4 linked regions of the Arabidopsis thaliana genome follow. The protein of the gene in region 2 interacts with the protein of the main gene of each other region in a pairwise test. Each region holds a gene or a part of one and is shown on either strand. Other genes may lie near its edges. The genes, in order: AT2G36330, DWF1, AT4G30660 and TET6.

Region 1 (7,752 bases), on a different chromosome or scaffold from region 2:
CATCATCTTCTTCACTCTTGTCTTTCACACCATTTTTACCTAAACCTTGAAACGATATCCCAGAATCAAGTGTGTCCTCCATAACACCTACCTCATCCACACCATCTTCTTCGCTACTCATCTCTTCCTCACCATTATCAATCTCGATACTCACCCGCTCTTGCTCCTCACAAGGCACATCCTTATTCTCTTGCTCCTCACAAGGTACATCCTTATCGCCTTTCTCCTCACAAAGCACATCCGTATTCTCTTGCTCCTCACAATCCTTACTCAAAACAAGAAACCAAGATCAATAAATCATGTTTTGAGGTGGTAATAAGAAGATCGGTAGAAACAGAACAAACACACTCACCATGGTTTGGTCCAATTTCTCTTTCTCACCATTATCAATCTCTATACTCACCCGCTCTTGCTCCACACAAGGCACATCCTCACTCTCTTGCTCCACACAAGGAACATCCTTATTCAAAACAAGAAAACAAGATCATTAATTCATTGCACATCATTAGTAACACAATTTTTTACATCATGTTTTAAGATGGTAACAAGGAGATTGGTAGAAAAAACAGAACTAACACACTCACCTTGGCTTGGTCCAATTTCTCTCTCACACCATTATCAATCTCGATATTCGCTCGCTCTTGCTCCTCACAAGGCACATCCCTATCGTCTTGCTCCTCACAAGGCACATCATTAGTCTCTGGCTCACCAGAAGGAACATCCTTATGCAAATCAAGAAAACAAGATCATTAATTCATTGCACATTAGTAGTCTAAGAGATTGTTGAAAAACAGAACAAAGACACTCACCTTAGCTTGGTCTATATTCTCATTAGAAACATACTCTGATTCATTCTTGTCCCATATGATCAATGACAATTTGAAGATTTCATCATCATCAGTATTAGTAAAAGAAAGTTGTTCCCCATGGTTAGATCTCCCCTGATTGTATGTAAACTTTCTCTTCATGTTCTTGACCTTATTGATGAGCTGAATCTTCGAAAACTTTGCTTCTACACAATCTTTGATATAACGGTACAAGGCATCCCAGTCAGATCTATAGCTCAATTTCGTTTCATTCTCATAGTCCACAATACCCTTTTACACACACACACAAAATAGAGTAAAAAAAGTTAGAAGAGGATAAAGAAGAATATAGAGAAGCTGCAAAGAATTTACTAACTAACCCCGAGAATGACAAGCTCATCGTTTTTAGACCAGTTCATCTTTGAAGCAGAGGAAGACAAGCTCAATGGTGTTGTCCTCGTCGTTGTTGTCCTCGTCGTTGTTGTCCTTAGTTGCTTTCTCCTACTGAGCATCGCCTCAACTTCAACCTCACGGTTCCTCGTGAGTGTGTCATCCGAGTTGGTGTCGATGGAATCAGCAACTCTCTTCGTACCAACCATTGATCGGTGATGAAAGATCAAAACTTTGTCAAGTTATATAAAACTCTCAGAAAGCTCAAAACCCTATTGTCAAACAGAGTCTCTCGAGTCTCTCTATTTAAAAACCCAGAGACGATACGAAGCAAAAGCACGATCAATCCTTTGGCGGCTATTGATATTCTCCAGGCGTAGGAACTAGGAAGTCCGAGTGTCGAAAACGTAAATGACTAAAATACCCTTTTCCATTTTTAAACATTGGGCTTGTGCAAGATGGTTTCTTCTTCCTTCTTCAGGGTTCAAGATGCACAATGGATAAGTCTGAGGTCTCATTTACAATCGAGGACACTCATATGGCTCAAGAGCTGAAAAGTTGTTGCCTTTTGCTCTGTCAGAGTCTTTATTTAGTTGGCTATAAAGACCCTTTTGACAACAGGATATGCCTCTCTTATTAACCTCATAGTTTTTGGAAACCTTTATATAGGCTACAAAAATAGTATAATAATTACAATGCTAAGATATATTGATCATTTTTATTATACATCACACAAGGAGTGTGGACCTATACAAAAAGGTGGGAGGATCAGAGAGAGCCTTGGTTAAATAGGTTATAGCCTGAAATGAGGGAACTGAAAGCAAAGGCAAGGAAGGCCAGGAAGGACATAGCAATCGAGGCACTTGCCATCTCTGTGAACTCGTCTTTTCCCCAGTTTGAAACCCAATCATCAACGCGAGTGACTGCTGCTGTTGAGGCAGACATAAGCAGATATGCAAGTACCTGATTGCACAAACAAAACAAACCTTTCTTATTCATAATTCCATCTGTTTTTACACATGCTTTTGAAATGTTTTGCAGGGGACGAAAGAGATTTCAATTATGTAATGAAGGGAGTAGTTTGGTCAAACAAGTATAACAGTCACTTTCACCATGTTTTCCGACCTATAAGATAAATCCCTTTCCACATATGCTATAAGCTAAAGCATAAAGAAAAAGAGTAACAATATTGGACTTTAACCACAAAGTGTTGTTCTTTGATTCACAGGAGACAGGGTAAATACCAGCAGATGGTGCAAGTCAAAGTATCAGGAATTATCTATAGCCAAGTTTTTCTCATCACCTAGATGCAACCACGTAGATCATACTTCATACAAGAACGAAAGTAACAAAGGAATACCATCGAGAGTACAGCATAAGTGTTAATGACTTGCCTGATCTATAATGAACTCAAACAGAGGTCGAAGGTGGTGGCTGATCAAATGCTTCTCTTTGACAAGATGGTACGCTAAGTCACATGCTTGAAAACTAGAATATACAAAAGCAACCACGTTCACAGACAGGCAAAACCTGTCACAGATATCAGAAGATGACACATAGATAAATCAGTTTAGTCTCAAAATCAAAAATCAAATCATACTAAACTGACTTCAAATGTTTGACCAAAACAACAAAATGGAAACTGCAAATGAATTCTTACGATCCAACAAATCAAAATCAATGTCAAAAGGAACAAACTTTACTTCTTTTAAGGACTTCACCAAGTTCAACCAAAACATAGACTTGGACCACGCAAGTGTTAAAGACAATTCACATGTACTAAAACTAAAGTAATCCAAATTTCTTATCAAAAAACCAACACTAGTGATACTGATAAAACCCTAAACCCTAAAATAAACCCTGAACCTAAATTCAAGAAACATCACTATCTGCGAAGAAATAAGCACAAACACAACAAATAATTACCTGTACTCCTTGTAACGATCGAAAGAATCACCACTCCAACCTTTAGTTTTATCAGCAGCCATAATTGAGAAAGATATCAAAGCCAACACAACCTCACTCAACCGAAACCCTAAAGCTGAAAACTTTACCACCTCTTCTCTCCTAGACCTTCTCAAAATAGCCGAAACAGCTCCAGATCGTTGGCCACTACTTCTCCCAGAACCAACTCTCGCACTCTTTCTCGTCGGAACCACTTCTTTCACAGAGCGATTGTGATTATGAACCACCACAATCGGAGATGGAGTTTCCTCAACCTTTCCAGGATTCTTGTTTCTTCTACTCTCGGGTTTACTTTTCGCATCTTCCTTCTCCGATTCACTGGAATGATCAAGAGAATGTGGCGGCGATGGAGAAGAAGAGAAGTGAGTAGTGGAGTTATCGAAAGCTACTATAGCCATTGAAGTATCTGACGGAGGTGGAGATTTCTCCGTGGAAACTGAAGAAGGTGACATCGACGGCATCGTCTTTGCTGGAGATCTCATCGGAAATATCAAACCTTTGTAACGAAATTTAAGGAATTTGACAACGCAAAATCGAATTTAGGAATAAGCGTTGAATTGAAGCGACAAAGAACAAAAGTGAAGTCTTTGATGAGAATCAAACACAGAAAGAAGACTTTGCAAGATTCTTTGTCTACTTCTCCCTGTATTCTTGGTTCTTTCGTATAATGCCCCACTATTTTAGTTTTGACAATTCGCACCTAAAACTTTGATTTGTTCTTTGTGGCCCTTGGTTTTGACTCTAGACTAGAGTCTCTAGCTAATAATTATTATTTAAGTGGGTATTGAAATAATCTTTGTATGCATTGTTATGAAGACAATTGATAATCATCATATATCATTAGAATGGAGAATTATTGCATATTGATCTAGTTGATTTAAAACTGTGAATCAGGAAGAAGAAGAGAAAAAACAGAACGCCATCCTTGATCACTGATATGAACATTGTCCCAAAAGAAGAATGATTTTGGATCATCGCAAAGAGTGTACAACTTTTTACCACTCAAGCTTCTATCTCCACAAAAGGTACCTCGTTTTGTTGCACAACATGCCTTAAACGGATCCGGAAATGTCGAAACTCCTGCCCAAATTTAAACATTTATATTATATATCCCATCTATTTAGGTATATGTATTTCTGTTTAATCTATCAAAGACGTGATCGGTTATGTTTGGTCATATACAGTGTTGGTATATATCTTACGTACCTGAAACTCCTTTGTTCTTGAATATGGTCACAAAGGCATTGTAGAGATCTAACGTCATGAAACTTTTATCATTATTGTTAATCTCCTTATCGTTTAGTTTTATCAGTCCTTTGCGGAGAAGACTGTTGTGGAGGTACGTCGAGGTGTCGTTGGTGTCGCAGCCTTTAGGAGTGACAAGCTTCGGCAAACATTTCTGCGGTGGTGATAAAGCCACTAACACCTTTCTTACTCCTAAATCCTTAATTCGCTTCACATCCAACAAAATCTGTTTCACTACTTTCCTTGTGAGTGCTGAACGACCCTGCCAGATTTTATATTTTCAAAAGAAATCGAAAATGTTAACTTATATAATATATGGATCAAAAATGGTCAACCAGTAATCAATTTTGATCAACCCTAGTGGGAAAAGAAAAGGTATATTGTACCTCTTCAGAACCATTACGTCTGTCGTAAGTAAGGTAGTCATTGCCGATGATGCTAAAGAAAGCGACGGAAGAGTTGAGATCGGCCGGTGAATAAACGTTTCTCATGAGGAGTTGTTCAAAGGAATCAATCTGCACACTAGCGGTAGGAACTAATTTGAACATTGTCTCAAACGCGCCGGCTCCACCATATGCGAAATTCATTCCTCTTTTCACAGCTAGTCTCGGTCGTCCGTATTTCCCCCATTTGTATGTGATCGGCGTTCTAACTCCAATATACTTCGCTACATGTTACAATATAAGTCAAACTATAAGATTTATTGCATAATATATGTTTTCTATATATAGGGTATAATTACTGTTGGCAACCGATTTACGTTAAACTAGAGATATCTTGCATTTTGAGAGAGTGAAAACGTTAAACTAAATACTTATATGGTCAACATTTAAAACAAATTATAATGAACAAAATTTATTGACTTGCGTTTCATTATATAAGAGATGCAATGCAAATGTACAGCTAAGACATATCTAATCTAAGAGTTTTTCACTGAGCTTTGCAATCTGTTTACAATATTATAAATCTTACAGACTCAGATATTGTGACAGATTACCAAACAAAACATTATAGTTCAAACGTACCGAGATAATCAGTGGAAACACGACCATCACTAAACCGCCCGGTAGGTATTCCCGGGAAAGTGATTCCATTGGGAAACCTCCACGAGGGAACGATCAGGAAAGGTGTGTTTCCAGTGTCTGCATACGAGTCTCCGAACACAAACAACTTTGTAGGTTTGAAACCAAAAAAGCCATCTTCTTGTGTTTGCTCGCTAGATGGAGAAATTGAGCTGTTTACCTTTATGTAGTCTAGCACGTATATCAAAAGGAAAAAGAAATTAATCGATGAAACTGATTTAATACAAATTAATTGCTGTAATTTGATATACGATACATACATTAAACAGATCAAGAAGAAGAAAATGAAAGTTATAGACTAATAATACCTGATAGAAGAATCAGACACGAGAAAAGAAACCAAGGAGTGAGTTTAGTAATGTTCATGATGGTTGAAATTGTTGTCTTTTTTTTTTTTGCATGGAAAATATATAGGTGAGGTTTAAGGTGTGTGTCTCTTAAATTTTAATTATGGCGAACGGTTAATAATTTAGCGGTTTCCATTGAATTAATTAATTGAGTTTGTTTCTTTAATTAATTAATACTCCTATTTCGTTTCTCTGGCTTCATGTTTTAGATATTTTTCCTTCTTTTACATTTTTTTAATAATTTCTTAGCAGTTTAATTTTGTTGAAGATTTCTTTTCTATATATACACAAATCTTTAACATTGGTAAATGAAATATATGCAATATGATCTAGATATTTATATTATTTTTAAAACATTTGTTCATAATTTCTAATTTTCTTTCACCTTAATATGAACAAAAAAGGTTTATTTATTTGACCAGAAAAAGAAAACATTGTTGTCAAAAAAAAAAATTGAACTCTACTACTCTAGTTCATATTTGGTTTGACTCTTCTTCATCCAATAATGGTCATATAAAATATGAAAGATATGTTTTGATAAGATTAATATGAAATTTATTTGAAGTATTTTCTTGTTTTGGAAATTATACAAAAATTCTAAATATCACCTAATACACACAGAAATATATTATTACATTTGACCACGGAAATAAAACAAACACTAGTTTTTTGTTGGTTTGAGTCTTCATCATCAAGTGGTCATATAAAGATAAATATATTTTCGACGTTTTATATTACTTTTGATTATTGTGAAAACTTCTAAATTTCATAATGTCAACAGAAAGAGAATAATTATTTGAAGAGAAAAATAGTAGTTCATTTGTATTCATTGATAGATCATAAATGTATGAAAGACATTTCAAATAATTTTCAAGTGAGCTGAAAGATGTTTGATGGAACCTCCTTTTCTTTCACATACCAAAAGACAAATCAAGTTGATGATCGCTTAGCGAAACATGGCCACACATTCGAAGCTATTGTATCCTCGTCTTTACCAAAATGAATCCGGCCTTATATTATGCCTAAAAAGCTTACAAACATTTGACCATAAAGCATTAAGAACAAACAACCTTAGCTAAATGCTTTAGAGATGATTAGGTAAACTGATTCAGATAAAAGTCTAAATCAACTGACCTAAAACTTATATTCCATTTTCCTCACAAATCTAAGAATTAAAATCAGCAAACAAACGTCAATAAGGACATGAGCTTCATTTTCTTCAATGATCTAACGTTTTGAAATGATCAAAACGTCTTTGTACTGTTTCTGTCGGTATAAAACATTATCCAAAACGCGAGACACAATTTCATATATTTTCTTTTCTTTTTCCCAAAGAGAAACCCTTTTTTTTTTTACAAGCAAAAGCCACACAATCATAAAAACTTTAATTTCTTCGGAAATAAACAAAGAAAATAATTAAAAAGTTACGAAACCATCTCAACCTTAATCTTGCGACACGTGTCCGTAATACAATAACATAATGAACGGCTGAGATCCACCGAGACAATCGAAATTTTCTCAGGGTAAAGATAGAAATCGGTCAACGGCTCCGATTCATATTTTCTGAAGCTTCGCCGCAATAACCAACGGATTAGCTTTCGCGATCTCTTCACGTCCCGCCGATTTGAAATCAAACGTACAACCATGAACCTCCGGATACCTATGACTCCCACAAAAAGTCGTCCCACACCGACACATAAACCCGGTTAACCCGACCCGTTTCCTACATACGGTGCATCGATTCGGCCGTTGCGGCGGAGACGGTTGCTCCGTCGGAATTTGAATCGGTTTTTTCTCCTCTGTCTTCTTCGTCGTCGGGATCTCTAACTCCGCCGCGTAGTTTTCGAGAACAGGTGCGATCACCGGAGAGAGAGATGATTCGACGGTTGATTTCATGGAAGCTTGTTGTTGTTGTTT
Region 2 (8,796 bases):
GTTTCATGGAATCCACAAGGCCAAAACCTTAGATCGATTATGCCCATCTCTTGGCTTTATAAATCTTGGTTGTGAAGTCTGATTGTTTCACTTATATTGTTGTTTGATTGTAGGATATATGCTCGGATTCCTGCGAAAAATCGGAACCAACACTGCACTGTAAGCAACATTCTGTTGGTTTTGTTTCTTTCCTATTTTCACATGACATGTTAGTAAAATATTCGAAAGGATTAAAGAGTTTTCGTTTTCTCAATTGCTTCTGCAGACGTTGGTCAGACAAATACAGCTTCTGTCGATAAGAGATGGTCAAGACTACTTGAACTTAAGAAGAAGTAGAAACCTTTTTATTCTTTGAATCTCTCTGTTCAATGTACTTCAAAGTCTTAAAAAGATTTTGATACTGTTCATATTCCAATATATACAAAATAAAAAACACATTTACAAGAATATGTAATGATTGATTCTAAATAAAAATCATATGAATGAGATAATGAAAACGTTATAGCTACTTAAGATTCACATTTGAACATTATTGTACCTGATTTTGAGTTTTATGACAGTAACACCAACAAGATGAAGATGTAAAAAGGAAAATACATACAATTATCGTTGAGTTGAGTTTAGTTCCTTAGTCCCTCTTTTTGTTGCATTTGCTCTCTAAGATTTCCGAGAGGTCCATATCCTTTATCCTTCTCTTCTCTGCCACAATCACATTTCCTCTTATTCAGATTCGCACCACACTTCAAGCACATTCCTTTACATGCAGAATCGCATATCGCAGTGATGGTGATTTCTAAATGCACCAAGTCTCTTATATGCTTTGAGATATCTATTTCTTTCACCTCAGGTGGAAAATGAAGCTTATCCTCCCAATCTATCCATGAATCATCATTATCATCATCATCTTCGCCTTCTTCTTTGTCATTACCGAATGTGAATCCTAGATCAATGACATCGGGTTCTTCAACTGGCTCTTCGGTTAGTAATAGCGAGAAGTTGGAGAAGATGCTCTCACCTGTTGACTCACCACATCTTCAAACACATAAGAGAAAACCCGTTAAATAACAAAGTTGATGCAATCACAATAAAGTAAAAAAGCTTCGATGAGTTCATAAGAAAGCACCTGTTGCAGCCGAGTGTGATAACAGTCCTGACAATTCCATCAAGTCTCAGCTTCTTCTTCTTCCTTATGACATCAACCGAAACTTGAACTGGTGTGCCATCTGGATAATCCTTGACATCTTTTGTCACTCTAAGTCCCATTGCAGAAGCTCTCTTCTTCGAGACATCTGTTGACAACCTTCCCAACCCAAGCCTCTCTAAGGTAGTGCAATATTCAACATGTGTAACTGAAGCATTTCTCCTATACATAACCGAACCTTCCCAAGGTGACCCAGTATCCTCAATTTCCTCCTGATCTTCCCAATCCATATCTATTGTGCTGGTCTCTGTAAAAGACTCCTGACTAACTAATATCCGACTCTTTGCTAGCCTAGGAAGCTTGATCGGTTCAGTGAACAAGTAACTGATATGCTTCCTAATACCGGTGGTAAAATTAGGATAGCCAGCGGGAGAAGATAAACTTAAGGTACATGTTTCGAGTTTCAGAAAACTTGGACGCGACTGTTTAGTCTGTGGCAAGGGAGCTACACAAGATAAAGAGCAAACCAGAGACATTTTCGTAGCAAAGGTGACAACAAGAGGCAATTTATCAAGCGTTTATCAAACAATCATGCTAAAATATGGTATAAAATCCAGCCAAATCCCAATAGGATTGGGTTTATCCAGCTTGAAACAGAGCACCTGCAAGAAACATTTGCTGATATAGTGTCAACAATAGAGAAAAGACAGAAAATCTTGAGAAGGGAAATAATAATCTTCAATTGTTTTTGAAAAGAATGAATTGGGTATCGAGACTTCACAGTTACATTCCAGTCAGAGCTAATGTAACTAAAGGAATTTGAGCTAGGAATTTGGTCGAACACCTTCTATGCACCATTTTATGTAGATAAAGGACAGACCTTTCCACTTCCAATTAACAGAGCCGCAAACATCATGACGGAGACGAAATCGAAAAACAAGCAAGTAACTTCGAATACAAAAGATACAACAAGAATTAATAAATCGAAATTACTTACCACTAACAAGTGCTTCAACAACGCTTTAGACGATCGACTCTGTAAAACTTCTTTCAGAAACAGAGCTCTTCTTACTCGGAAATGGCTGCTTGGGTTTATCCTAAAAAGTCTCACCCGGTCAACTTCGGTTCAAATACCGGTATTTCCAGGTTTATATCAAACCTAACCGCACCCCAATAAAACTAACAAAGTCGGGTTTTAGTGTTTTAGATTCACGTCGTGAATGATCTAAAGCCTAGTTGGTGGTGGTATAAAGAGAGAAGTTGAAATGATCTCTCAAATTGGTAGATCAATTAATTCATTACAGCAACATGCTTACATTGTGACAGTCAAGCAACACGATAAAACCGGAAACCTTCAATTTCATAGGCAAATCCAAAAGTTTTAAACTCTAAAATCCACTCAAACCAGAATGAGTCAAACAACAACAAGAAGCAAACAACAACAACAAGAGTCTTCAAGACACTAAAACTGAAATTAGGAAACAACAACATAACAGACACTACTAGGAATAACAATAATCATCCCGAGCCATTACATCAAACCAAGGCTTATTATTACTTAATCTGCCTCGGCATAAGCAGTTTCGAGATGAGCTTGTTCGGCTTCTCTAACTTCTTTCTCAGTCTTCCTTCCTTTCTTGGACTTGTAGTAAACACTCATGAACGTTCCAATAGCTCTATACTTCTTGCGGCACTCCTCATACAATTCACCATTAAACATTCTCCAGAAGCTCTTCTCGTCGAGCTCAGACACCGCGTACTGAGGCTGGAATCCATGGTTCTCTATCAGCCATTTCTCCATCCTACGCACTGCTTCTGATCCATCAAACTCTTCACCTCTTAGGACACAGCCAGGTGCGTAGTAGACTCCAACATCAGTGTACATCTGTGCATCTTCTGTGTCTCCTTGTCTGTTTTCGTACTCGAAGCCTGGCTCTGGGTAGATTTGGCCTTTGATTGGCTGCTTGAAGAGTTTGTGTGGGCAAAGCCAAATTGGATACACCTGAAAGAGAACAAACAATTCATGATTTTGTTAATAACATCAAAAGAAACTTTAACTAGAAGATGATCAATCATGAAACCGAGCTTTTAGTTTTACCTCCATTTCGCGGTGGACCCATTCGAGTGCATCGCCAACCTTGTAAAGAGGAACAAGCATATCCTGAATAACATGCATATCATGGTAATAGTTCCTGATAGCTTCACCTTGAGTGGCCTTAAGAAGAGAGACCTTTGGAGGCATCAACCAACCTAAGAGGTACCTAAACCAGAACTGATCACCAAATGGAAGAATAAGCTTCCCTTCCCAGTACAAGCACCTTGTGTGCCTGTGGTAGTATTCACGAGTTGGGATGTACTCAACAAACTGTCCCTTTTTCAGGGCGGTCTGCGCGTGCTGGTAGAACCACGGCTTGAACCACCATCCCACATTGTTGATTTTGTTCCCTTTCTTCTTTGCCTCTTCTTTAGATGCATATGTTCCAACCATCATCACTCCTTCCGTTGGATTGTAAACCATGCCTTCGACGAAATCCGGGATTTTCGACTTGTCACCGTCTTTGGGAGCAAAAGAATCAATGTAACCTTGAGCTAAGGCTTGAAGATCACCCTTGACTGGTATGTAAGTGAGTCTCATGTACTCCTTGACTTTAATAAGCCTGATCTCAGCAGCTACAAGGAGTCCAAGAGTTCCTTGCGACCACGGGATTGCGTAGTAAAGATCAGAATACTCATTATCCCTTGTGGCGCGGACAAGCTCTCCACCCGCAAGAACAATCTCGTAAGCCTCAACGGTATCAGCAAACAAACCGTAGATGTGAGAGCTTCCTTCAATACCATATCCATTGATAAGTCCACCAACGGTAAGGTCATCAAGCTCAGCAACAACAGCGAGAGACAGGTTCATTGGGACGGTAGCACGGGAAATCTGTCCCATGTTAACAAGAGGCTCCACTCTAGCAGTCATCTTCTCCTTGTTGATCTCAAGGATGTTACGGAACTCCCCCAAGTCAACCTCGAAATGCCGGGCTCTCTTGTAGTCAACGTTCCTCATTCCAACAGCGATCCAGGGCTTACGAGCAGTGCAGACAAGCCCGTCCTTGGAAGCATCCCTACCCTTAAGCCTTTTGATGACTTTCTTGACATTCTCGTCGTGTTCCTTCTGACGTTTCTCAAAGGACTTGGACTCTGACCACATGTCCCCGAGGTAGATGAGGAAGTAGAATGTGGCTGAGAATGGAAGGACGATGAAGATGACAATGATCCATCTGAACTTGACAAAGTAATCAACCCAAGTCTTCTTCCTCTTGGGCCTCACAAGCGGTGTCTGAAGATCCGACATTTCCTCTCCTCACTGCATCAAACCAAAAAGAAAATCAAATCAACCAGAGTTTCAAAATCCATCACTGTAAAAGTCAACAAGGCCTAAGAAGTGAGCATAAATCTACCAGAATGTCAAAAATACTAAAGATTAGTTTCTTGAATCCAAAAAGAGTATAATAAGCACACATAAACACATACGTATACACACATGTGTATCAGTGTATGTGTATGAAATAAATCTGTAAGAAGAAGATAGTGTGGAGTCCATGGAAACAGAGAGCTAGTGAACAGAGAGACAAAAAGACATGAAGTTATGTTCTGAAAGAACAAGAACACAGAAAATGGTTATAATCTTTAGATCTACACATCTAGTATTCCTACAAAGCCATCAAAGTCTGTTTTCTACCACCAAAATAAATAAATAAAAGTTGGTGAGCAAAGTTTGAAACTTTGTTTGAAATTCTCCAAGACTGAGATGATTAAAATTAAAAAACCCACATAGTTCACTAGTGCGTGCTATGAAACAACTATGAACCAAGTACTGAGAGATCTAACGACAGGAAATGATAAGTCAGCGACTGAGACAGAGAGAGAAAGAGAGGTAGAGAGAGTACCTGAAGAATCCAAAGGAGAGAGAGAGTGAGAGGATGAGATGTGAAAGTGTCCCCAAGAGTGTGAGAGCATTTGTCTTTATAATAAAACGTGATTCAAGCCAGCCTGCTTCACTTGCATTTTTCGCTCAAAACAAGGTATTTTTTATTTCCCATTTTTTTATATAATTTTAAAATAAAAAAGGTAATAATAACGCAAAAATATAGAAATTAAGAAATATATAATGTATATTTTTCATGGGTTTGTATAAGTGGTTTTTCATATTTCTAAGTTTCTTTGTTGTTATCGCAATTAAAAATTCGATGTTAGTTGTAATGTTGATAAATCACATGTGTTATATTTATGAGCAATTTTTTAGTTTATAATTCTGATGTAAGAAAATAAAAATAAATTGTTTTTACTTATATCAGTATTTAATATATTTTTACCAACTCTTTTAACATTTAGAAATTATATGTAAATCGAACCTAGAGCTTAATTAGACATATCTTCCAAAATATAATTTCTTACTTAGCAGTTAGCATATAAAAGGAATATGAGGACAAATTCTTTGTAGGGATATTTTTTCTGAAAAGAGTTTACTGCTATAAATAGGTAAAAGCAAATAAATAAAAAAAGGCAACAAATCTTAGCAGTTTAAATTTCTTTTAAATAGAAAAATATATCTTTCTTTTGGTATGTAAATCACAATAAATTACAGGAAGACATGTGCCCAATGAAGGAAATGTAATTGTCCAATTCGTTTTTTTTTTAAATGCATTTTATGGGTTGATTGTATTGATTTTTGTTTTCTAAATGCTTTTAGCGAAACAGTCCTCCTACATGTTTGTTGATGTACCTAAAGCACATTCCATCCTCGTGAGGTTACTAAGCCGACGATCTTATATATTGTTTATTGGCAAAAAGTTCATTACAACTTTTCTTATCATAATAGTTATTACAACAATCTTTAACATTTAGTTTTGATATGTTATGATTGAAGCAAAAAAAGCACTGCCTAAAATATCTTGAAAACATTATACATTATGAATGCTAATGAGAGTTCCTTATATCTTTCTCTCAACTCTTAAGGGATCTTCAAATGAGTGTTTTTTTTAAGCCAAAACAATTGTGAATTAGTCATTCACTTTCATCTTATTCAGATTACAATGTAGTATTTTAGAAACTAATGTGTAGTAAAAAATTTTATATAAAATGCCTCTTATTTATATAAAAAAAAAAACTACGGCTGTGATGAGAAATGTTTTCCCAAATCCCAATAGCCATGCTTTTCATCAAAATTCATATATGAAATCATTTGTATCATTATCAGTGCCTACATAATACAGTAATAAACACACAAACTATCACGTTATTTGGTGAAAAAGGCTCTCAATATATAATTCTGTTACTGTAACCAATTATTTGATTTCCACCTAAGTATTTTAATAGTTGATTTAGAAAAGCAAATAAAATCATGATTTATTTAGAAAAATGGTTACACTTTAAAGTAATGAAGTGCTCAAAAAGTTTTTTTTGTCGCCAAAAAGTAATTATTTATTTATTTGACATAGAAAGAAAAAAAAAATTACAGGGATGATGGCCTGTCTGAGAAAATATCCAGCTCTTGCAAAATCTCTCATAAAATATATTTACTCTTTAAAATATGCCAACTAATTTCTTACTCACATTTACAGCTACAAATCATTTTTTTGTAGTATGGAAAAATAAATGTCTATTTGGCGAATCACACCTTTTGACATTGACAGTTTGACGTCAGTGAAAATTTGGTTGACGCTTGACAAAGTTTTAAACCGTTACAAGGTCGTGTAATCACACCAATGTTTACATTACAAGAAACACCAATTTGTTTATATATATATCCAAATACAAAGACATTACTCTTTGGTCCAACGCCAAATAAACCCATGCGTCATTTCTGCATCAACAAAAACCGTCTTTGTCCATTCCATTAGTACCTAAAAAAGTGTGAAGAAGCCAGAGACAACAACCCACATAAATTATGATTTGTTAAGATTGAAGCGTATTATGACTAAACACTTCTCTTGAAGTAAAAAAATTAAAAAAAAAAAAAAAGGTGAAAGAAAAAGACAAAAGAGAACGGAGAAACCGAAGAGAGGAGAGTTGAAGATAACAAATCTATAAACGAGGACTGTCCTACTCCCCACATGTGCCTGACGTGATCTCAACTCCTTCACGTGATTTCTCTTCCTCATTTTTTGTAATTTTATTACTAATTCTCCATTTTTTCTCACTTCTTATTAATCCCTTTTTATTATTCAAATTTTTGTTTTCTGCCACTTCCATTTTATTACTATTCTTGCTAAAAGAGAATGGAAAACAAAATCACTTTGTTTAATGCACCCACGATCCAGTTTTTATTTTAAATTGTTGTGCCTTCTGTTTGATTGCATGTACTTAACTTCTTATAATAAGTGTAGATCTACTCTTAACGTGCAATTAACTAATAGTCTAATACATCGGGGACACGTTCAATTGTTGGTAGCATTCTTGTTTAGCATTATATATAATCCATGATTTTAGCAATACCAATCAATCATTCCAAAGACAGATCGTTTCGTTTTCAGTGGCTTTTCATTAGACGATACATTGTTACCCTACTCAAAAACTTAACTCAAATGGGTTACTTCAACAATCAATATTGAAAAGAAATCACTTCTCAACAATAGATTAAGAAAACGACCAGAAAGGAGACTTTCTTGCGCCTTTGTCTTGGTTCCCTGAAATTAACCATAGTTCAGTCTTAGTAACATCGAACAAAATTGCTAAACTGATCCTAATGGGGAAAACGATGCATGCATACAAAACTGTTACACAATACTGTAAATTGCTAAACGCATACACCAAAAAAGAAGCAATCATAGCCTATAAACAGCGTTCTTTGCCTTCGTTACAGGTTGTGAAACACTATTTCTAACCAAATATTGCAATGAATTTTCAAGCAAAATATTGTGAGTTAGATAGGCGATGGGCTAATAAGTAGGAGTTGATTGGGAAGAAACGATATTAGATATTTGAGAGTTATGAAGAGTTTAACCTCTCCCTAACATGATCTAGCAAGACAAAGTTTAATAGCCAGGAAACCAGCAAAACATTGCAAAAAACAGAAAGAAGATGAATGTACCTTGTTTAGGCTCTGCGCATCGATATCTCCATGAACTTTTTGTTCCTCCTCCAGAAAGGCATATCCATGGCAGAATATTAAAGTTGTTGTAGCTAACAATATGGAAAAAACTAAAACCAAGGAATAAAAAAGGCCAAGTGAAAAACTCATTACTACTTCCACCTAGAATTCTTGGAGAACACTTTTCTCAATCCTAAAGTTAGTGACTGCTAATATCAGGTGTCTTCGTGCAATGTGTTATGGAATCCCTTCAGAAAAAGAAAAAAAATCTTTATTTGAATAAAATATTCGTGTACTATAACAAACCATTGGTATACACGTTGATCACAGTTGTAAGAGATTGGGTGAAATGGACCCTAAAACTTTCTGCCGCCAATAAGCGCCCCTCTTCTAAATGCATACAACAGCACTAGAATGTAAACACAAAACTGAGACCTCGTTATACGCCATCTCTGAGGCCGAGAAGAGAAAATTAACCAACCTGCCATTACATAAAAGGCTTTGGTCAGTCAATCAACAATGGGACACTAACAAATGCAAATAGCAGAACAGGACTATGCCACATTGTATAGAAGAC
Region 3 (6,595 bases), on a different chromosome or scaffold from region 2:
TAATATCATACTTGTAATCGAAATTAGATTCAGTTTTATTACTCTGTTTTCTTTTTCTTGGTTTGTGCTTTTTCTTTTGGTGCCTTAGTTCATTATTCATTTGGAAGAGTTCAAGATGAGGAAAAAGAAAAGAATATGTTGAATTGTACTCTTTATAGATAGTCTTGGAATGAAAAGTTTAATTTAAATAATCAAGTAGTTGTCAAATAATCATTATTATTATTATTGTATTTTATCATGTTGGTGGTTTACTTTAATGGGAACAGATGAGCATTTCAAAATAGATATTTAAAAAATATCACACTAATTTATACATTGAAAAATGACATTTAAGGATATTTCCCATTTTTCATACGTAGTCAATCATATAAAATTTGAGATTTTAATACGTTGACAGAGTCATATGATCCTGGATCGTGTCAAAATGTCTCTTGTGTAAGTAAGAAGTTTTCCAAAAGAAAAAACAGTTATGAGCTGTCTTGATGATTATATCACTGCCTAGTTGTTAATTAAGGAAGAGCTCATCTGTTTGGTTGCGTGCACGAAGAAGAGAGTATGGTACAACTACTTTCACACAAATCTATAAATACACAGACACACTCATAAGTTCAAAAAACACAAGATAAATATATTTTCTATTCAATTTTGTTTAAAGAATAAGAAAAAGATGAGAACTTCTTCTCTTCTTGGTTGGTTTTTGATCATCTCCCTCTTGTTACTTTCTCAATCCCTCATAATTTCATGCGGACGCCATACGATCACTCCTTTGGGTCGGGAACTAGTTGAACATGAAGAGAACAAGGAAGGGTCATCCGGTCATCACCACGACCATCTTCGAGTCTTCGTGAGGAAAAGCAAAAGCAAGAGCAAGAAGAAGAAGGACAAATCAGCAGCCACTCGAACCCTTCTCTCTAACCCATTTACCTATGTATCTACTGTTGTGAGTTCCTTTGTTTTATTGCTCGCCGCATTTTAATCCAAGATAACAGGTTGCGACTTTTTTATTTTATTTGTCAAATGGCTTGAATTTGCGTGTTTGTTTGAGTTTGTATTTCCGATCGAGTTTAACGATTTGTTTTCTTTTCCGGCAAAGATTGAGTTTGTAAGTCTTCAATGTTTGAAAAGTTGTCTGATCTGGTTTGTCTAATATTGTGGTTCCAGTTGTTTTGTTTAATGAATAATAACTGATTGTCTAAGACAATTTATCATTGACACACAACTACATGCGACTATTTTTGGAATTTTTTTGTTTGTTTGCTAAATTGTAAATATCATTAATATGAATAATCAGAACTTACACTTTGGTTAAACCTATACAATTGTGTACTTGGCCAAAAAAAAAAAAGAGTAAAAAACAAGAAAACAAACTTATGTGGGAAAATCTCGGGCCAGTTTATCGCAGCCATAAGATTTCAGAAGTGACCCCTTTGATTTTTTTGGCGGTGATAGTGTTCTTAATCTCACGATCAATTATTTTGAAGACTGAGTGGAGAGAGAATGCAGGTATAGTGAACATTGTTCCTTTGTTTATTCTTACCATTAACAACAACCTCTTTAAAACATCTACTACATGAATTCAATCAAATTCAGTTACAATTAGAACTAACTACTAGGCACCATTTCCCTTCGACCACTATTTGCCTTACGTTGGAAATTCACTAAATTCCATTTCACATAAGAAAACGATAAATAATAACATTTGGGTCTGTTACCCATTAGGCTTAATTAATCATGATCCTCCCTTACGTAATTAGATTTTGCCTCTCGGAAACTTTCTTTGTTGCTGGCAAAAGGAAAGTTTCTTTGCTAATAAGTAATAAGTATCCCAATAGTTAAATACAATAATAGTATTAAACATCATTTCAAAGAAGAAGTAGCCCATGTTTAAGCCATGGTCGTTTCGTTACCTAAGCCTAGCGATATTATAAATACTAATTCTTTTGCACACATAATGCGTCCCATCATTGTAAAATTAACACATATTTCTGATTTTTTTCGATCAGATACATGTATATACACACATATTATTTGATAAAACAGAAATGAGGACTTCACTGGCATTTTCTTGTTCATTGATTGTACTCCTATTGTTACTCTCTCAGCCTTTGCCAATTTCATCTGAAAATAAGGAGAGTGAACGAAGACTTGCACAACACGGTGACTCCAATCCGTTGGATCATCATGACTCTCTTCGAGTTTTCATGAGGAAAGCTCGTTTTGGTGGTGTTGGTGGTGGTAGTCGTGGTGGTGGTCGTAGCCACCGTCGTGTCCCCAGTAGTGGTCATGGTGCGGGTGGATCATCCGCTACTAGTCGACCTTGTCTCTCGATGGCATTGCGCTACGGTTCCACGGTCGCGAGCTCAATTCTGTTGATGTTCTTCGCCTTCTAATTAAACTCTTTTTTTTTTTAACCTTTCAATTTAATAATTTAATTTGTGCCTTGCGAAAACACTATGTCAACAACCTGATGCATAAGCACACATAGCAGGAGGGTTCATAAGCTGATAACAGAAGAAACTTTCAATATTGCATATAAATGACACACAAACGTTTTCAAATCTCTGAAAACAACTGCAAAGCAACTTTATTGGTACAAGTCAAAGCAACACAGTTCCAAAGAAACAGAAATCAAGCAGAGTAGATGGGGCGTCTGTATTCATCAAAGTACTCTTCACGGTGCTGAAACACAATCACGTAAATCGCATATATTATCCCCGGGACATAGCCTAAGATCGTCAACACCAGGCATATCAAAAACTCCACCTGCCAAAACAAACCACACATAAAAAAAATTCAACTTTCTTCAAATGATTATCCAAGCTTTCAGGAATCAATGAATCAAACATAAATTGATCCAATCCAGAGAATTTCTGCGATTCATATCATAGATTAAGCACTCCCTTCATTACTCATACCAAATTACATTATAATCAATCCAAAATTACAGTCTCTATAAGAAGTTCCAGGATTCTTCAAAATTGAGGAATTCGAAAGAGAGAGAGAGAGAACTTACAGTGCAGCATCCTTTCCTGAAGCAAACTCCGAGAGGAGGAAGAAGGATCGCGATAATGATCTCGCACAGAATCTCACAGTTGCTCGGCATTTTTTCAGAGAGATGAGATGAGAGAAGAAGAAGCTTTAAGAGTTTTTTTAAAAGACAAAACACTGAAACTTGCTGTCACAGAGTTGAGAGTACCAATGAAGAGAGATCAGTCCACGTTTTATTTTGTTTCCACTACAAAGTCAATGTGCGAGATCTGCACCGTTCATTTATTGATATTTAAATCGTACGGCTTTAGATTACATCTCGTGAATCACAACGAACGATATGGTGCACCCTTATCACATCAGATCACTTTTAGATATTTTAGTCTCTGACTCATCCATGTGACTAAATGGGCCTGGGAAGGCCTGTCTATTTTATTAATCCCGGGACCAGACTGGAATTGGACAGAAACGTTTTGACTCAAACGGTGTCGTATTACTGAGACTTTGATTCCTCAACTCACAATCATTGTCATTATTTGCCAAAGTAACAGAAATCTATCTTTTTTAGCATAATCTATACCATAATATATGTTGGCATCATACAAAATCCTTTCAAACTCAAAAATGCTTCCGCATTTTGCGAAGTTTAAACTCCGGTAAATACAATCTTGGCAAAGAATTTGATACATTAACTCTTAGGAAGGTCCGTAGCCTGACTTTGCAAAAGCCAACAAGTTATACATCAAAAAGATAAGCAATGTATCAATAACGCGACAATGTTCTCAAATCTTCAATACATAAAAATTGCAAAGCAACTTATTATTTGGTACATGATAAGTAAAACAGTTTCAACAACATATTGATCCGTGTAATGGACCAAAACAGATCAAGCTGAGTTAAGTGGAGCTCCAAGTTCGGTAGAGCCTTCACGGTTTTGAAACACGATCACGTATAGTGCATAAATTATCCCTGGGATGTATCCTAAGATTGTCAGCACCAAGCAAATCAAGAACTCTACCTGCAAAAAAACTAAGAGTCAGATTTTCTAAACTAAATCTCAAGATTCATGATTCCAAAATTCCAATAACTTACAGTGCAACAGCCACGTTTGAGACAAACTCCAAGAGGTGGAAGAAGGATCGCGATTAAGATCTCGCAGAAAACTTCCATGTTGCTCGCCATTTTTTCAGAGATGTGAGTGAAGAAGATTCTTGAATGTGATCTGAATTAGTGGAGAAGAAGAGAACACTGAAAGTAGTCGGTAGCACAGAGATCCAATTAAAAGAGCAATCCACGGCTTTTTATTTTTGGCGCTACCAAGTCAACTACGAGATCTGCACCGTTTATTTGTTTGGTATATAAATCGTACGGCTTCAGCTTACATGCCGACATCTCGTAAAATTACCTTACCTTGCCCCCACTCTTTAGATATTTTCATCTCAAGAACACGCAAGGTATGGTGCAACACAACACACCTGATCATTGTGGGATATTATTACTCTGACTCGCCCCCTTATCGTACGGTTAATGGATCACGTGACTAAGTTGGCCTAGAAGGCCTGTCTTCTATTGTTTCCGGGACCGGACTTTGATTAGCCCAATTTTTCTGTTGCTTGCTTAGATGGCAAGCTATCTCAGTACATTTACTTAACCCATTTCCCTCAATGTTTATTTCACTTAACACTATGATTCAGACCTAAAGCAATGAAGAATATTAATAGAACACACCAAAAGTTGGGAATTTAGTGACAAGACAAACTCACAAAGAAAAAGGGTTTCACATTGTTTTAGGAATTCAAACATAGATAAGAACAGAGTAAAAAATGCCATAGAGGAAGCTCTGAGCATAAAAACCGGTCAACAAGTTGATCAAAACGTGCGTCCAACAAAAACCAAACACCATCATTCCTCTCTTGGATTACCAGGTCTTGGAACGCGTAAAACAGCAATCGGAGGATTGAAATCCGGCTTAATGATCTCCGTCAAATTCTTCAAGCCCGACGTATTAGTGTTTATATCACTTCTGGTCAATGATATACATCCGCGTAAGTCCATGTACTCTAGATTCGAACATCCCTTACAAACCGAGTCAAGTCCTCTAGCAGTCAATGTGGAGTATCGAATCTCCAAATGCTTGAGCTGTGTCATGTATTTCCCAATTATTCTAGCCTCTATATTCCCATATCTAGGAAATGTAGCCAGATAGTCTAGTGGCGCGACGATTGTTGGCAGGCTAGGACCTAGCCGGGGCAACAAATTCCGTTTCAGAATCTTTAAATTTTGGCAACTCCTCCCCAATGTTATCAGAGACTCGTGAGTTATGCCATAAGAGTAGCTTATATCAAGTTCTCTAAGATTTGGACAGTTCATAGCTATCTTCTCCATTGACGCATCTGTAACATTTGGGCAGTTCTTTATCCAAAGTACCTCTAGATTAGGGCACCTGCAAATGGAAACCACATGACATTTTATTCATTCTATCAAAACTCTGCGATTAACCTCTATGGACTCAAGCTAAAACTGAGAATTATCACGAAAAGTGATACGTACCTCTCGGCGGCGTAAGATAGAGAGCGTTCTGTACAATGCCTGATCCGAATCTCTGTGAGACCTCCTTCACTCCGATCAACAACAGATCGGAGAAATGAATCGACTTTATCCTCAAACTCGGGAGTCCACCAGTTGATCGACTCAGGGAACGACAGAAACCGAGTTTCGAGGTCGAAGATGGTGTTTAGTGTCGGGTCATAGCATGCGTTCATCCAGTTCTTGCTGACCAGCATCGGTCCAATCCATCTTTGTTCCTGGCTTAGCCGTGAGAAGATGTCAAGAAGACATTCTCGAGTCAACTCAGACCAGTCAGGGTAGAGTCCCGATCCCATCTCCACCTTTCCTTCCCCGCCGTTGACTTCCATAGGATTGAAGAACGCTTCGTCGTTTTGAGTACGAATAGACTTGAAATGTTGAGACTTTTTTTTATCGTCAATGGAATAAATGTAGTCAATGGAAACAAAAATGCTGAGACTTTTTCAGCTTCTATAATCAAGCATGCTCTTTACCTATTACAAAACAGAGCTTTTTTTTATTGGTCATTAGTAACCTTTCCAATTTTGATATCCAGTTTATATTAATGTTCTGTCAGTTTGAAGTTGGAGCAAAACGGTTCTGCTCCTCGACTTTGATTAAGAGAATGAGTAAGAACATCCAACAACAAATGAGATTCCCTAATTACCAAATTGGATTAAAAGGATAATGTAGTCACTTATGACAAGAGTTATTATTCAAAGGTTTTCCTATGTTGGACATATGGAAGTAATGACTTTCTAAGTCATCAAATCAAATCTTATATCTATATACTTGTATAAGCATATGTGCATATTGGGACGACAAATCATTATCTCAAATCCTATTTCATACTAAACACCCTAAACACTTAAAGCCACTGGATCTTGCCATGTAACCTTCCTCTTCACTGCTCTATTTAACTCTTTCTCCACATCTCCGCAAATGGGTAACTTTCTTTCAACATGTAGATCACTGATCCTGTTATCAAGCATTGCATTCTTCATTGCTTCCGCGACCATATGTTCACCATTCACTTCCGGCT
Region 4 (7,715 bases), 3.0 Mb from region 2:
CTTAATTATCAAATACCTTAAGGCATTTTTGAATATGTTCAATTGGCACCCATTGTTTATTCAGCTGCAATAACTGGCCATAGCCTTGACATGTACGTCTCCTTCAAATAATTATTGTTGATGAGTAGCATTGACAACTATGTTCAATAGGCATCACTTTACAAACCAAATATTAAAACATTTTCTTACATCTGTTGCACCCATACGATTCAATGACTTTTCTAGATCATGGAGAACATTGAAGAGGAGGAAGAAGAAAACTACATTCCTGCCATTGCAATTATTGGTCGGCCAAATGTTGGCAAAAGTAGCATTTTAAATGCACTTGTCCGAGAGGATAGAACAATTGTTAGCCCTGTTAGTGGCACTACCCGTGATGCTATAGATGCAGAATTTACCGGACCAGATGGGGAGGTTCGTTCAGTTTTGTCTGTTGTGTTTTTTGTGGCCTAGTTTTCTTTCGGTGAATACCTGTTCATTTAACCCTGAATATGATCATGAACTGTGTTGCAGAAGTTTCGGCTTATAGATACAGCTGGGATCAGGAAAAAGTCATCTGTGGCTTCATCAGGCAGCACTACAGAGGCCATGTCAGTGAATCGTGCATTTCGAGCAATTCGTCGTTCTGATGTTGTTGCCCTTGTCATTGAAGCTATGGCATGCATAACAGAGCAGGTATCTCACTAGTAACTGACACTGATGACTGTTTCTCATTAGCAATTGTAGAGCATGCAGACTGTTTTGGTATAGACAGAGTTGAACCATACAGTATAATTATTTCCCTGTCCAACAACAAACAATTTTACTGACATAGTTTTAGAATGTCACAAAGGATTTGATAACACAAAAGTACCTTGCTATTGTAACAAAGGAAAAATGATGAACTTTCTTATCATGTGAAATTTTTCTAATGGTATGTATTGGAAACACAGGATCTGAAGATTGCAGAAAGAATAGAAAGAGAAGGGAAAGGATGTCTGGTTGTTGTAAACAAATGGGATACAATACCGAACAAAAACCAAGAGACTGCAGCACATTACGAGGACGATGTTCGGGAGAAGCTCCGTTCCCTCAAATGGGCACCTATTGTTTATTCAACCGCAATAACTGGCCATAGCGTTGACAAGTGAGTCTCCTTCAAATGATTCAAAAACTATTTTCAACCTTACAGTCCGGTTTTACTTAGTCTGTTTGATAATATATAATTCAAATGTAGTATTGTGGTTGCTGCTGCTACGGTTCAAAAGGAGAGATCAAGAAGACTTAGTACGGCTATATTGAACCAAGTGATAAGAGAAGCAGTTGCATTTAAATCCCCTCCAAGGACCCGTGGAGGCAAGCGAGGTCGCGTTTACTATTGCACCCAGGTAATAAAAACATCTCCCAATGTTTTCTAGTAGCAGTAAAGGAAAATGCATTAGAGGCTTTTCGGGTTTGTTTGTCTGTATATAAAATGGTTGTATAATGCAGGCAGCAATAAGGCCACCGACGTTTGTTTTCTTTGTAAACGACGCAAAGCTGTTTTCGGATACGTACAGAAGGTATATGGAGAAACAGCTACGCACTGATGCAGGCTTTGCTGGGACTCCAATTCGGCTTCTTTGGCGTAGCCGTAAAAGATCTGACAAAAATGGAGGAGGTACGAGTTTTTTGCATGAAGTTGTAATTCTTTTTGAAAATAGTGACAGTATCTGTATAACTTTTGGAAAATTCTGCAGGTGGAGGAACAATGAGAATGGCAGGCCTTACACGTCAGAGAAATCTTGCAACCAAAAGAACATAATAACCGACGATGTAATTTTGTTGTATTGAAAAATAATTACTATCAATATATATATACAATTCAATCCTAGCTAGTCTCCATTGCAACCTACTCTGTTTGTTTTTCGTTTTGAGCTTTGAAGTGAAATTGCAGGAATAGTAAACTCTAATAAGTCTTCCATAGAGTATATTTCACAAGTGAGACGAAAAATATATGCATATACTCATGCACTCGTAGCAAATCTTACTAATCTCTTGATGATTTATAGGAACAGGACTACATCAACATTTTTAAACTATCTTTGTGTTTTCTTAATCTAAGTTTGCTAAAAAGAAAATGATTAAGAACAAAAAAACGATGCGGCTTTTAGTAAAGCTGCTCTTTCTTTTCGTGCCACCATCTCCACCTGTAATAAGAACATGCTTTTGTCAAAAAATAAAAAAATCCAAGATCTCAATTCGGATCAAGTATAATTTTGAAACAAAACTTTCATTTTACGATCATGCATTTGGTAAGTGATATATATATATATATATAGAGAGAGAGAGAGAGAGAGATAAGGTTACCAGTAATAGTCCCAACGAGGACGGACTCTGGTCATGCGGTTATCATCAGATGGATGGTAAGGATGAGCTGCGTGGCGAGTGTTGTGGAAGGCGCAGCAACCAGCGGCGTAGACCGCGATGAGGAGGACGAGGACGAGAATGTTGACAACCGATAACTTTCTCCAGTCGAGACGGATCTCTTCGAGAACACCAGCCTTGCAAGCATCGCACTCGTAGCATAACATCTCCACTCCATTGTTCCATCTGAAGCAATCTCCTCCTCCGTCCACTACTCCAGCTTCGTACGTACACGCCGTCGGTGGCTTACAACATCCCGACTGCATTGTCTTTTATTAGTCACGTCTTAACTCTTAACAAGCCTTTTCTTCCCCAATAATACTATATTTTTGTCTAAATGCAAACGCCAAACACAAACTAAGTAAAAAGAGAAAACTATATGTTTACAGCAAAAAACTGGTAAGGTCACACTATCATTTTGTTTGCAAGTAAGAATACAAATACGATTCAACAAAACACACACGGAAAGAAAAAATTCGTTTGCCTTTTTCATTTCTAGTCACATGCTTGCTTTACACGCGATTAGAAACGAAGAAACAAATAAAATCAAAGGCTTAAATTATCATATGATAAGATATATATTAGATTACTATAGCAATTTGTTAAGCAAGCATGAATCATGTCATAAAGTAGATTGTACCTGAACAGAAGTCATGTCTCTTTGGAAATAATCAAGTGTAGTCCAAGACTCAATCTTAGTACAAGTCTTGGAACTCAAGATACAGCTTCTAATGGAGTTCCAATACTCAGGATCCCTAACTCTCTCTCTCAACCATGGATGATAGTCTCCAAGCCTATACTCTTTATAAATCCTCCCTGGCACTTCCACTCCACCTCCTTGGCTCGTCACCACCAGACCAAATAGCGTTAGACCCATTAGGGTAGCGATGAGGAAGATCATGACCACTAAGTACACCCAAAGAGCCCATGCCACGTTGAAGCAGGCTCCTATGAATCCCGCAAGGGAAACTATGAGTATGATGAATCCTATAACAAGTAGCGGCGTCTGGAGGAAGTTTTCACATGTCGTGCTGCTTCTTGCCTTGTATAAAGCGGTTCCGATGATTGGAATCGAGGCTAGTAAGGTGAGAAGGTTTAAGACCCCAATAACTGTGTTGCTGAATCTGTACATAGTAGTAATGTTATCAAGAAGAAATCAGAGACTTAACACTGCCTTCTTTCTTTTGTAAGCAGATTCTCTTCTTGCAATGTGAATTTCATCAGCTTTATCTTACAATCTTCTTTTTCTAGATATAATATTGGTTAACTCTACTTTTGGCTTTTGATTCTCTCTTATCAATTGGGAATTTTTTAAGGGGAAAGGTTAAGAGTTAATGGTTTGATGATTCATGATCATATTCTTTTGGTCCTCTCTCTCTTGAGTTGAATCAATTAAACAATAACATTAAAACCGTATAATTTTCAAATAAAAGTGTCTTTTTGAACAATTGTTTCTTGTTTATTATTCTATATTATACGTTTTTGTCGTTGGAGTTGGTACAGAGCAGACCACAACCAAGAGAAATCAAGTAGTGCCTTCATTAAAATATGTTCTTAAGACATTACACCATAAAGAATACAACTTTTTCTAGCTTTTAGTCCAAAAACTGCAATCATGGTTTATATAATGGATGATCACAAGTGGAATAAAATAAATGTGCTATGTTCAATGAAGCATAGGAGTAAGCAAAGAATAATATATAGACATGGACGGGAGATGATTTCGTAATCGATGAATTTTCTTTCTAAGATGCTTTTAGTGGCCCATTCCTCGGAATATTAGGTTTTTAAGATATAGCTTGATGTGATCTCCGATTCCCCCACTTCCTTTTTTATCGTATAAATAAACGAGAAGGAATGCTAAAATCTTGTCTCAGCTCATATTGAATTTTTGTGTGTTTACTTTCACATTTAGCAAATGATATATGTTTTAATTCGCCAATCATTATGAGCCAAAATATCCACAAGCTTGAAGATACAAAGGTTTGTGGTCTTTGTGTGGTTGAAAATTCACATAAATGAAAAACAAACAAAACAATATCACAAAGTCACAACTTGAAAATTCACAATATTTATATTCCTAAAGAACCATGATCTCTAGTATACATCCAAAAATCTTCAAATCAGCATTTAAAAACAAAGAAGAGGCAGATGCAGCTTAGGTGTAATCAGTTTGCAGGGTCAAGTCTTGTACACCCAAATCATGGTATACATCATATACATATTGCAGTAATGGTCTTTCATCTATTCCGCTCTTCACCTAACGCCGATAAACAAAATAACAAACCCAGTCATTTCCATTTCTAGTGTGAGCTCATGTTTTAACCGATATAAAAAAAAGGAGAAAAGTGAGTACCTGGAGTCTGAGTGAGCCAACAGTGTGACCAGGCACAACCTCCCAGAAACGTGCCTGTAAAACCTCCGTTACATCTTCTCGAGAAGTAATCTGTACAGAGAGAGAGAGCTGAAGAGAAGCCTGGTTTGATCAACAATGGGAAATATGTACACATTCGAGGAACGATTTATGAGCGAACCTGTCGCAAGCATTTGCTTAAAGCAGAAGAAGGAATGTTTGGGGGTGCCATCTGAAGCAAGACACCACCAGTGGCTTTGAAGAGTGGCATAACAAGCATAAACACTGTGACCGATACCAATCCTAAACATAGGACCTCTGCATTTTCAACCCTGAAAAAGCCAAGGCATAAGGAGCAAAAGGAAAATGTAGTCAAGCAAGAAGACACTTTTATTCATTTAGCTCCTTCAAAGAAAGCGAGTATTACCCGAGCGAGAGGAGCCAAGATGCCAGTATCAAACCTGCACTGAAAAGACAGCAGCAAAGAAAACTTCATGTTGACTGTATATAAGTTTGATGCAAAAGGAAGCATTTTCTTTTCTATATAGCTTTCTCCGATTCTGCTTGAAATTTATAAAGGCAGAGAGGATTAACACCTGCGGATGGAATCTGATATGACGTGCAAGCAAACGGAGTGATAATTCATATCTTCTGCTTTTCTGTAGGCTGCAGCATATTGCATATTATGAATATAAGAAAAAAATTCAAGATAACATGTGGTTTTTAGATATGTAAAGAAGGGACAGATAATTTCAAGAAGCAACGAATAGTCGTTTGACAGATCAGTTACAATTATGCTGACTCTCTCTTTCAACTAATCTTCGTACTGATTCTATCTTAACCAAACACCCTTACTTCTTTGGCTTTAAAGCGAAAACTGACAAGGGTGGCCAATTTCTACAAATGAATACCAAAGCCACCAACAAAGGCTATATCAAAATATAAAGCAGCGTATGAGCATCAATTCATACAAGTCTAAACAGAACTTAAAATGCAGAGAAAAACATACCAATATTGACACGAGCATAATTCCGGAAAAACCAAACACCTAGTAGGTTCACCAGCAGATTTGTTACCGCTGATACAATCAAATAATGCCTACATAAAGGAAATCTCAGTAAATCACACTACTGAAAGGAACAAGAGGGAACAAGTACTGTAAACTTAGTAAGTGCTAGAGATATATATAGAAACTCCTAGGCATGTCATTTGTGAAAATATCAACTTACTTATGCTCTGATTCATCTTGTATAAATGCATGAAGAGCTTCCACAGCTAAGGAGAATGACATGAACATAAGGAACAGCTGTCTACACATATGTCAAATATTAAACAAATCAAAGTATTAACCAAAAAGATAAACTACAGAGACAATGAAAGGCAAAACGAAAAGATAGATTGTATGGAAGTCCAAATCTTTTTAACGAGCTGTAAAATACTCTATTCTATCAGCAACAGTAAAGGAAAGAGTTTTAACACTGAGTCAAGCCATCTACACTAAAGCTGGAAATGACATCCAAAACACGTTAAGAACATACTTACAGCATTAGTGAAAGCAGATAAAACTTCAAGTCTTTTGTACCTGGGAACCCAAAAAAAAGAGAAGACAAGGATGCCTAAATTACAACCACTTGAGCATAATCACATTACAGTCTCGGGAGAAAAATAGATCATAAAATGGATTAACCAACTGAGCCAATCAAATTACTTGTAACTCACCCGTATGAGTAAGCATGATCAGGCTTCTTCCTTGAAGTTGCCATTGCAAATAAAGAAAATGTCAAGAGACCACAACCAAATGTCAAATGGAATGCATCAGAGACCAAACCTGTAAGAGTCCACAAAACAATTCAAAGAAAGAATATCAACAATTCAGAGATTCAATCCTAAAACAAAAAGAGAACTGAAACCAAATCGTACCTACACGACCAGTGAAGATACCAATAGAGAGCTCTGTTGTAGAATACAACACATTAAGCGCAATTAGCAGAAACAGTCTCTTCATCTGCCGATTTCCACTTGTCACTACTCCAAAAACCTCCCAAACCATTTCCAAAACAGACACTTTTGCCATGTCTACATCTTTCCCTTCCCCGAAAAACACATCACTTCCATCAACGGAGTAAATATCCGGCGGCATATCGATGCTCGAGACCGTCCTATCGAGAAAAGGCTTAGCCGCTTCCGTGACCGCCGGCGTTCGTGGACCGTGAGATTGCTGAAACGAGCGAGAATAAGCAAGCCTCCGATCATTAGCAGCATATCCGACATCGCTGCTCCGATCATCAGGGAGCTCGTTATCGCCTCGAGGATTAAAGGAAATGGATCTCTCCATTTTCTTCTTTGATCTTAAAGTTCCAACTTCGGCAAATACTAAAATCAACAGTCAGTCGTACAAAGAAACTCTGCTTATACAGTAAAGTCAATGGGCCACTGTTCTAAGCCCATATATAATTTTAGAAGCCCATAGAATACAAAAGAGTCAAGAAGCATTGACCGCACAAGAAAAAAACAATTGTTAAAAAGGGTTGGTTAGTGTGTATGTATATATGAAATGCAACAAACATTATACAGCCCATTAAATATGGTTGTTATAGGTAGATGTCCCCATTAAGGAACTTTATCCAGCCCATTAAATTACTTTACAGAGTAAAAGAGAGAGAGAAGATTTACAGTTACGTTACCAAATTTTCGAAATGATTTAATTAGTAATAAATAAATAATTAAATGTCAGTTACTCTCTTTAGAAAGCTAAATAAGACAGCTGTTTCCACCAACAACGTGACTGGTCGTGGGGTCCTCCTTCGTTCAAAGTGATATTCAGAAATCAACGGCTGAGATCTTCTCCATCAATATTTATTACGGGCCTATTCCTTCCTTTTTTAAACTTCAATTCTCCGGCTCACATTCTCTTCTTCATTCGCTCCGTTTCTCTCTCAAAAACTACACACCCGTACCACACCACCACCCTCCTCGT

Evidence for each region.
Region 1: the proteins of DWF1 (region 2) and AT2G36330 interact in a protein complementation assay, tested with the Arabidopsis thaliana proteins (one large-scale study listed by BioGRID).
Region 3: the proteins of DWF1 (region 2) and AT4G30660 interact in a protein complementation assay, tested with the Arabidopsis thaliana proteins (one large-scale study listed by BioGRID).
Region 4: the proteins of DWF1 (region 2) and TET6 interact in a protein complementation assay, tested with the Arabidopsis thaliana proteins (one large-scale study listed by BioGRID).

Annotation. Positions count from the first base shown.
Region 1 is NC_003071.7:15,229,511-15,237,262, reverse strand, and holds AT2G36330 (Uncharacterized protein family (UPF0497)), read right to left. Parts: upstream 3,764-7,752; 5' UTR 3,644-3,763; coding exon 3,123-3,643; intron 2,727-3,122; coding exon 2,591-2,726; coding exon of another isoform or gene 2,579-2,590; exon of another isoform or gene 2,441-2,578; intron 2,160-2,440; coding exon 1,965-2,159; 3' UTR 1,735-1,964; downstream 1-1,734. Other genes in the region: AT2G36340 (DNA-binding storekeeper protein-related transcriptional regulator), read right to left, coding at 1-265, 353-460, 585-722, 810-1,097, 1,187-1,405; AT2G36325 (GDSL-like Lipase/Acylhydrolase superfamily protein), read right to left, coding at 4,039-4,241, 4,368-4,668, 4,793-5,073, 5,432-5,659, 5,797-5,854; AT2G36320 (A20/AN1-like zinc finger family protein), read right to left, coding at 7,390-7,752.
Region 2 is NC_003074.8:6,877,136-6,885,931, forward strand, and holds DWF1 (cell elongation protein / DWARF1 / DIMINUTO (DIM)), read right to left. Parts: upstream 5,181-8,796; 5' UTR 5,077-5,180; exon of another isoform or gene 4,494-5,076; 5' UTR 4,482-4,493; coding exon 3,240-4,481; intron 3,144-3,239; coding exon 2,700-3,143; 3' UTR 2,389-2,699; downstream 1-2,388. Other genes in the region: AT3G19800 (E3 ubiquitin-protein ligase, putative (DUF177)), read left to right, coding at 114-159, 266-336; AT3G19810 (BTB/POZ domain protein, putative (DUF177)), read right to left, coding at 621-1,032, 1,124-1,677. UniProt on the Arabidopsis thaliana protein: Plays a critical role in the general process of plant cell elongation. Involved in the synthesis of campesterol, an early precursor of brassinolide.
Region 3 is NC_003075.7:14,951,978-14,958,572, reverse strand, and holds AT4G30660 (Low temperature and salt responsive protein family), read right to left. Parts: upstream 3,195-6,595; 5' UTR 3,104-3,194; coding exon 3,014-3,103; exon of another isoform or gene 2,764-3,013; coding exon 2,629-2,763; 3' UTR 2,573-2,628; exon of another isoform or gene 2,413-2,572; 3' UTR 2,402-2,412; downstream 1-2,401. Other genes in the region: AT4G30670 (Putative membrane lipoprotein), read left to right, coding at 668-976; AT4G30662 (uncharacterized protein), read left to right, coding at 2,043-2,390; AT4G30650 (Low temperature and salt responsive protein family), read right to left, coding at 3,875-4,006, 4,081-4,170; AT4G30640 (RNI-like superfamily protein), read right to left, coding at 4,891-5,431, 5,539-5,903; AT4G30630 (uncharacterized protein), read right to left, coding at 6,414-6,595.
Region 4 is NC_003074.8:3,850,198-3,857,912, forward strand, and holds TET6 (tetraspanin6), read right to left. Parts: upstream 3,670-7,715; 5' UTR 3,518-3,669; coding exon 3,026-3,517; intron 2,646-3,025; coding exon 2,329-2,645; intron 2,169-2,328; coding exon 2,129-2,168; 3' UTR 1,928-2,128; downstream 1-1,927. Other genes in the region: emb2738 (GTP-binding family protein), read left to right, coding at 226-414, 514-675, 933-1,126, 1,217-1,367, 1,471-1,639, 1,719-1,783; AT3G12100 (Cation efflux family protein), read right to left, coding at 4,544-4,645, 4,742-4,831, 4,920-5,070, 5,166-5,204, 5,335-5,404, 5,748-5,836, 5,968-6,044, 6,281-6,320 and 2 more. UniProt on the Arabidopsis thaliana protein: May be involved in the regulation of cell differentiation.